2 linked regions of the Danio rerio genome follow. Each later gene encodes a partner of the first gene's protein in a complex. Links are inferred from orthologs where the notes say so. Each region holds a gene or a part of one and is shown on either strand. Other genes may lie near its edges. The genes, in order: arpc1b and arpc3.

Evidence for each region.
Region 2: arpc1b (region 1) and arpc3 share a complex: the UniProt entries of both Homo sapiens proteins name them as parts of the arp2/3 complex. The link is inferred for Danio rerio from reciprocal best matches to the Homo sapiens genes ARPC1B and ARPC3.

The regions. Positions count from the first base shown.
Region 1 is NC_133178.1:39,766,539-39,770,369, reverse strand, and holds part of arpc1b (actin-related protein 2/3 complex subunit 1B), read right to left. Parts: intron 1,325-3,831; coding exon 1,220-1,324; intron 1,126-1,219; coding exon 903-1,125; intron 1-902. UniProt on the Homo sapiens protein: Component of the Arp2/3 complex, a multiprotein complex that mediates actin polymerization upon stimulation by nucleation-promoting factor (NPF).
Region 2 is NC_133196.1:18,449,379-18,453,856, forward strand, and holds the start of arpc3 (actin-related protein 2/3 complex subunit 3), read left to right. Parts: upstream 1-1,562; 5' UTR 1,563-1,597; coding exon 1,598-1,603; exon of another isoform or gene 1,604-1,805; intron 1,806-2,040; coding exon 2,041-2,140; intron 2,141-2,283; coding exon 2,284-2,360; intron 2,361-4,478. Other genes in the region: protein FAM216A, read right to left, coding at 1,456-1,562. UniProt on the Homo sapiens protein: Component of the Arp2/3 complex, a multiprotein complex that mediates actin polymerization upon stimulation by nucleation-promoting factor (NPF).

The sequences.
Region 1 (3,831 bases):
AATTATTAACTTGTGTAAAAACAAAGATAAATTTAAGAATTCCACCAATCCTAAGACCCAACATGTCTTTCTTTGTCTTTTATTATTTCACCAATGTTAACAGTTCCAAATTGACTGGCCATGCTGTGTGTAAAATGTACATTAATAATAACTAGTGAAGGATTGTACAAAATTTGCCATGTGAAATGTCTTAGATTTATCATTCTGAATAGTCTGATATATTGCCGATATGGCAAAGCAGTGGCGCAGAAGGTAGTGCTGTCGCCTCACAGCAAGAAGGTCGCTGGTTCTAGCCTCGGCTCAGTTCGCGTTTCTGTGTGGAGTTTGCATGTTCTCCCTGCGTTCGCGTGGGTTTCCTACGGGTGCTCCGGTTTCCCCCACAGTCCAAAGACATGCGGTACAGGTGAATTGGGTAGGCTAAATTGTCCGTAGTGTATGAGTATGAGTGTGTGTGTGTGTGTGTGGATGTTTCCCAGAGATAGGTTACGGCTGGAAGGGCATCCGCTGTGTAAAAACTTGCTGGATAAGTTGGCGGTTCATTCTGCTGTGGCGACCCGGATTAATAAAGGGATATAAGCCAACAAGAAAATGAAGGAATGAATGAATATTGCCGATATGTAGTCTGATATATTTAACATGTAATCTATGAGCCAGATTTCTCCTATATAGAAGCCTCAGCAAATGAAATATCTACTTTGAAATGACTAGCATCCTCCATTGTCCATTTTAGCCACATCATTCCTGCTTTTAACCAAGCAGTGTTTTAAACTCTTTAAAAAACATTTAAAAATAAAAGAGCCAAATCTGCCATCTGCCTCATGACATAAGTAGATTAACCACCATCAGTCAGTTCTTTTCTGTCAGAAGAAGCTCAATATCCATTTCTCCTGCCTGATACTCACCAGTCATTATCCTGCTCAAAATAGCACACAGAGATCAGACGTGAGCCGCTGCCCACAGCAAACTTGTTTTCCTTCGGAGACCATTTCACACAGCGGGCAGCACGGTTGATCCTGAGAATGACCAGTGTAGGCTTCCATGCGTCTCCCTTCAGGGTCCAGACGTATGCGTTACGATCAGTGCCGCAGGTGACGATGCGATTGCTCTCTGGGGCCCAATCAATGCCTTGGTGTTGATGAGAAAACCATTTGGATTAGTTTAGATTTGGTCACATAAATGATCTGTGTCAGTGTAGGTCGGATGAACCTTCTAAACTTACCAGTAACCTGGCCATTGTGTTCCTTCAGCACGTGGATTTTGTTCCAGTTGTTTCCTGCCTTATTGTAGATGTGCACTTCATGGTTATTAGGACACAGTGCAATTTCTGAAGGAGACAGGAATCCAGTAGATAAAATATTCAAAGCAAGACTATGACAAACATACATTGACTTGATTAATTGGATAACAGTCTAAATATTTTATTAGTTGCTACTAGTTTATTCAGTGTTTATTAGTGGAATCTATTGTCGTGGAAATCTGCTAAAATGACTCTCAGTTTTCTAAAAAAAAAAATCTGTCATCCGTTTTATTCCCCTCAGTGCACGTACATTCACATTTGTGTCAAACTCCAGGAAAGATACATTTCTGGTGGGAAAGAAGAGATCTTTTTGCTATTTTCTAACTCCTAACTTGAAATGTCACTACAACGTGTGTGACTTTGGCCTTGGCCAGCACATTCTGCTTCTCTGCATTCATTTAAACAAACTCTGCATTCATTAAAACAAATAGCTGACATATCTAGCTATCTATCTATCTATCTATCTATCTATCTATCTATCTATCTATCTATCTGTCTGTCTGTCTGTCTGTCTGTCTGTCTGTCTGTCTATCTATTTACCTACCTACCTCTCTCTCTCTCTCTCTCTCTCTCTCTCTCTCTCTCTCTCTCTCTATCTATCTATCTATCTGTCTGTCTGTCTGTCTGTCTGTCTGTCTGTCTGTCTGTCTGTCTGTCTGTCTATCTATTTACCTACCTACCTCTCCCTCTCTCTCTCTCTCTCTCTCTCTCTCTCTCTCTCTCTCTCTCTCTCTCTCTCTATCTATCTATCTACCCACCCACCCACCCACCCATCCGTCCATTCATCTATCTACCAAAGCCTCATAGAAATTTACACTAGATATCGCATACGGATGTGGCATCAATACTGCCACCATATGTAGTGCTCCCAGGACAGAAGTCATTCAACCGCACTAGTTAGACTAAAGTCAATATGACAATGCTGGATTTAGCGCTGTGTATGGGTGTAACTTTTATATTTTTGTATTTTGTGAACTTTTGTGCTAAACAAGAATTGATGATAATACAGTCACTTACTGCACTGTCCACAAGGCAAAGTAGTACCAACTCGCACTCACTTCTAGGACTATGCTAGTTTTGTTGAATAAAATCAGCAATGTAAATGAAATATGTCAAAAAGACACTGCAGTGCCAGAAACTTGTTTTATTGTATGCTAAGTGAAGTAATGGCTATAGTTTTTAAAGTAACTTATAAGGATGCCTGATTACATAAGTGTCTGCGCCTCAATGTGCATACTGTCTACCCTAAATAATTGAATGTAACAAATTTTATATACCATTTAGATCAGAAAGGTGGATATGCACATTGAGATGCAGAGATATGGATGGTTACACAAATTGTTCATAACAGGAAGATTCATTCACTAACAAATCGCTCTCACCATTATAATTAAAAGTGAAAGCAGGAGAGGGGGTGTGTTTCAGGACATGGATTAGATCAAATTTAACAGGGAGGATAATACATTTCCATGTACACAAACACATGGTCTTTGTTAGCAATAACTGTGCGGTCACTTTTCCATCATTGTTGAAAAGTTTATTTTCTTTTCGGCTTAGTCCCTTTATTATTCCGGGGTCGCCACATCAGAATGAACCGCCAACTTATTCAGCACATATTTTACGCAGTGGATGCACTTCCAGATGCAACCCATCTCTGGGAAATATTCATACACTTTCATTCACATTCATACATTACGGACAATTTAGCCTACCCAATGCATCTGTACCACATGTCTTTGGACTGTGGGCGAAACCAGAGCATACCAACATGAACGCCGGGAGAACATGCAAACTCCACACAGAAACACCAACTGTCCCAGTCGAGGCTCGAATCAGCAACCTTCTTGAGGTAAGGCAACAGCACTACCTACTGCCCCACTGCGTTGCCCTGATGTAAATGATATTTTTCATCATTTAAAAGAAAATTTGCATACAGAGCACCATTTCAAAGGAGTGCTACCCTGTACTAAAATGGCGGCTCTATTGACATATTCCTTCTAATAGAACAACAGGACAAAATCTAATGTAATTATCTATGGCAGAGCCTACCAATTAGCCAATGGAAACATGCTAAATCATGCTAGCAACATGTGCTAATCAAATGTTAAAAACATGTAAGTAAAATGCTAATTCTTGCTAAAATGCTAAATATTGCTAAAAGCATAATACCAATGTACTAAAGCACGTTAAACACATAAATATGCTAGAAGTATGCTAAATCATAATTTCTGTTAAGTGCATTCTGTGTCCCCAGTGAAGATCATGATATCATTGACTTTTAAACTTTAAGCATATTTATTTATTTATTTTTTAAATAAAGATCCCAAATATCCCTAAACATCCCAAAAATCACATTCCAGGTCCGTGTTTGCACTATTTAGGATGGATAAAACACTTAATATGAGTGATAATATTAAAAGTATATAATTGTAAAAACAAAGAATGTTTTCAATTTGTCTCAAATTATTGTTCACCTGTTATGAGATTACTAGCCCTTTAAATTCAAATTGTCACAATAAAATGACATCATATAT
Region 2 (4,478 bases), on another chromosome or scaffold:
TCTTGAGCTAAGAGCCAGTTCACACTTAGTTTCTTTATATTTTGTCATGATTTCATTGTTTGAAGGATGAAACAATAACCTGTGCTATGCAGAGTTTTATCAAATATTGTTCATTTTTAGAACTGTATATTTATTTTTGCAATAAAAAATATGGAAATTTCAAATGTGTTTTATTTTGCTCAAAATCTTCTTGTTACATTTTATCTTTGAAGTGTAACAACTTTAGAGATCTTTTCAATACTATAGTATTGTTACAATATAGTTAAAACTATAGTATTTGAAGATTAAACCAGTGGGTAAAACTAAATGGTAATTAAAAAGCACCTTGGTTTCTAAACTTTTACAGGAAATAAAGCCATGGTTTGTTTTGGTAACAGAAGACATTGATAGTGACGTTCCTTAAATTTCCAGAATAGTGGTTGATCTTGGTTATTTATTCAGTGGCTGTTAAACTTTTATATTGAACCTTCCAGTCTTGAATATTTGATTTGAACCTTGTTAATAGGAGGTAGGAATAGTTCACGCATCATTTACTCATCCTCCTTTTGTTGCAAACCTATTTGAGTTACTTTCTTCTGTTGAACACAAAAATAAAAGATATTTTAAAGAATGTTGGAAACCCTGAACACTGGAACACTGACCTCATTTCTGGGTGAACATTTTATTAATTGATAGTTTACCCAAAAATGAACATTGTCATCAATTACTCACCCTATACTTGTTTCAAACCTTTGAGTTTATTTCTTGTGTTGAACACAGGAAAATTCATTTATTTTCCTTCGGCTTATACCCTTTGTTGGTCATTGGTTACCACAGCGGATTGAACCACCAACTTATTCAGCATATGTTTTACACAATGAAAGCCCTTCCAGCTGCAACCCACTACTGGGAAGCACCCATATACTCATTCACACACATACACTACATCCAATTTAGTTTATTAAATTCACCTATAGTGTTTAGACAGTGATGGGGAACCAGCGCACCCGAAGGAAATCTACGCCAACACAGGGAGAACATGCAAACTCCACACAGAAATGCCAACTCCCAGCCGGGACTCGAACCAGCACCCTTCTTGCTTTGAGGCAAGAGTGCTAACCACTGAGCACTTTTTTTCCCTGTGGATGTCAATGTTTACAAGTTTTAATTTTTCTTCAAAATGTCCTTTAGTGTTAAACGAAAGAAACTCAAAGGTTTGGAACGACTTGAGGGCGAGTAAATATAATTTTTTGTGTGAACTAAATCAAATCAAATCACTTTTATTGTCACATCTGCAGCAGCATCATCTATGGTGAGTGAAAAGCTTAACTAACCCTTTAAATCTAAAATACTAAAACTGTGTAATCTTTTCGACTGTCGTGAGGTGAAAATACTTTGCGCATGGAACGTTTTTTGAATATTCAATGGATATTTTACTGGATAATCTCTGGGGGAAAGAGAGACTGTAACCGTTACCTTTGGCGCCCTCCAGTGGTTTTGGCGAGATATTGTACTGGAAACTTCCTGTATCGGTGAAGGGTGGGACAGGCGGAAGCGACGGCTTGCAGCGCTGACATATTCATTTCTGCCTGCTAGGTTTGGGACATATTGTACCAAAATGCCGGTAAGAAATATTCACACATAACGATTTACACCACGAGCGCCATTGTTTGCTTTATAGGCGGTTGTGCCACGTTATACGTTAGAGCAGCGGGGAGCTAGAAAATATTTAGCTCTATTAGCCGAAGAGCTAATGTAAAAATCATGATACTCTCATCGTTTTTCCACAAATTTGACAGTTTTACGAATTTATTTATTTATTACATGTTTGAGTTTATCAAATGATCCCAAATATAAACATAGAAGTGTCAGAAAATGCGTTGTTTAAAACAGAATTGGTGAATCAGGTAATGTTGCAAACAACTGGATTTCCTCACTTAAATTAACGTTGTGATTTTTTTCTGTAAATATTAGTCCTTTTTAAAACAAATGTTTGCTCCGTCATATTGAAAAAAAAACATTATTAGTCTTGCGTTTTATGTCATCTTTCACTCTTTTTAGGCTTATCACTCAGCCCTGATGGATGCAGACACCAAACTGGTGGGCAATATGGCATTACTGCCCCTCAAAACACAGTTTAAGGGTCCTGCTGCTAGAGAAAGTAAGACAGGATTTACTTTTGTACTATTTAGGATCTAACAGTTAACTTACTTTGAGATATGAGATGTGTTTAACTCTACCTTAAATGGTCATTAGTAAAGAGTGTCTGACAAACCAGATTTCCTTCCTGTTTTTTATTACCAGCTAAAGACACAGACATCATTGATGAGGCCATTTACTACTTCAAAGCCAATGTTTTCTTCAAGAACTATGAAATAAAGGTAAGGAGCAAATGACCGTGCTGGAAGCGTGAAGGAGCCTGAAAAATGTACTTGCGTGCCTTAACCTGCATTCATAGTTCTGCGCTCAGAGAAGAATTAATATTCACTTTGTATTCGAATTTAAAGGCATGGTTCTCTCAATAATGAAAATTTACTCACCCTCAAGTGTTTCCAAACCTTTATGAGTTTCTTGCATATTTAAGAAGATATTTTGAAGAACAATGTAACCATTGACTTCAAAAGGAGACACAAATTCTATAAGAGTCAACAGGCCCGTAGCCAGCCTGGTGAAAGGGGGGGGGGGGGTCTTTTTTACAAAATGTGGACCTTTTTGATGTTATTCGCCTTACGTTCTATTTAATTCAGTGACATTTTAAGCCCTAGTTTTAGCTAGATTGTTGGGTGGTCATCCTAACCACACTTTTTGATGTACCAAAATATTTTCTAAAGATTTACAATACTGAAATAAATACTGAATAAAGAATACTTATCTTTAAAATACAAATGTATTACATTAGAACAAAAAAATAGGAATCTGTTGAAGTTTTAAATTAAAAACTAGTCTATTGTCATTTGTTAGGCAAATAACAAACTGACCAGTACATTCAACTTTGCTCTGTCAGAAATTTAAAATTATTATTATTTTAAATAATTAAAAATTTAAACAGTAATTACATTTTTGTTTTAAGAATAAGGTCCCAGATTTAGAATAAAAGTTACTGAAATGTTTTCTCTATTTAACAATACAGTAGCAAAATATGAGTTCACATACATTAGATTGCATGTTTTCTTGCATAGATGGATGTTGGAATCATGAAAAATAAATGTTTGCATTGACCAAATAGATTAGCTGAAGTCACACGATGTGATGGCCAGCAGAGCGTTCTGCTTGATCTTAAAGCTTTTCGATGGGTTATTTTTACTATTTATGATGACATAGCAGTCAAAATAGGACAAACAAGCCTAAGCCTATGTAGCAAATTGTGGACCTTTGTCAGTGGGTCTTTCGAACCTACTTTTTTTTTTTTTTTTTAATCTATATCCTCTTTTGTAAGAAAGTAAGTCAAACAGGTTTTGAACTAGTGAAGGGAGAGCAAATGATGGCATTATTTTACGTTTTGGGTGAACTATCCCTTTAAACTGTGTACCTATAAACTGTATGTATGCACATATTATTTACTTCAGTTTATATCAGATTTTGAATTTGTTGGATTTTTGATTGAAAGGGATGGCTCTGTGATAGGTTGCACATCCTCATAAGGGCTCAGCATTAAGCCTTGATGTCTATGTTGGTCACTAAACGGAAATGAAAAAGATATTTTAGTTGATCTTTAATTTGATTTCCAAGGCAGTGTTTTCATTTATAAAGGCCATTTTCCCCTAACTGTATTAAATGTGTGCTTCATTTTAACACAATAAGACATTGTCAGGCTGTTACCAGTTTGAGCATCAAAAACAGTCATCTGTCCACTGGCATTTAGATCTGTTTACACAGACAATAATAAAGCTCAAGTGCATGAATGCATCTACATTGCAAAGTTACTACTTCAGATATGTTATGTTTTTAAACCCTTTTAATGCGCAAGTTTTGAAAAGCTACATTCCATGCACTTGTTGTAAAAAAAATTCTGTCTTTTATGTTTACTTTTTAAAAAAATTATTGGTGACAAAATAAAGTAAAAAAAAAAAGCATAATTAGCAGTTTTGTGTCTAAAAATGCCATGTATTCTAAATCTAAATCTCTATAAGTGTCGTGTGTAAAAGTCATGTAATATCTACTTTTGTCATGTCATATATTTATAATACACATACATACATACATACATACATACATACATACATGCATGCATACATGCATGCATACATACATACATGCATGCATACATACATACATGCATACATACATACTTTCACTTTCACTAAAACATTCCTATACAAGCAGTGAAGTAAAGCCCTGCTCACCTCAAATTAAACATGAATATTAAATTTGAATAATGTTGCTAACCCAAAATATACAACGGAGGTCAATTAAAATCTCGTTCGCTTTACTAAAGGAAGAAATTCAAACAGGTTTGGAGTAAACTGTAATGAATAATCATGACTGGGAAATGTACATTT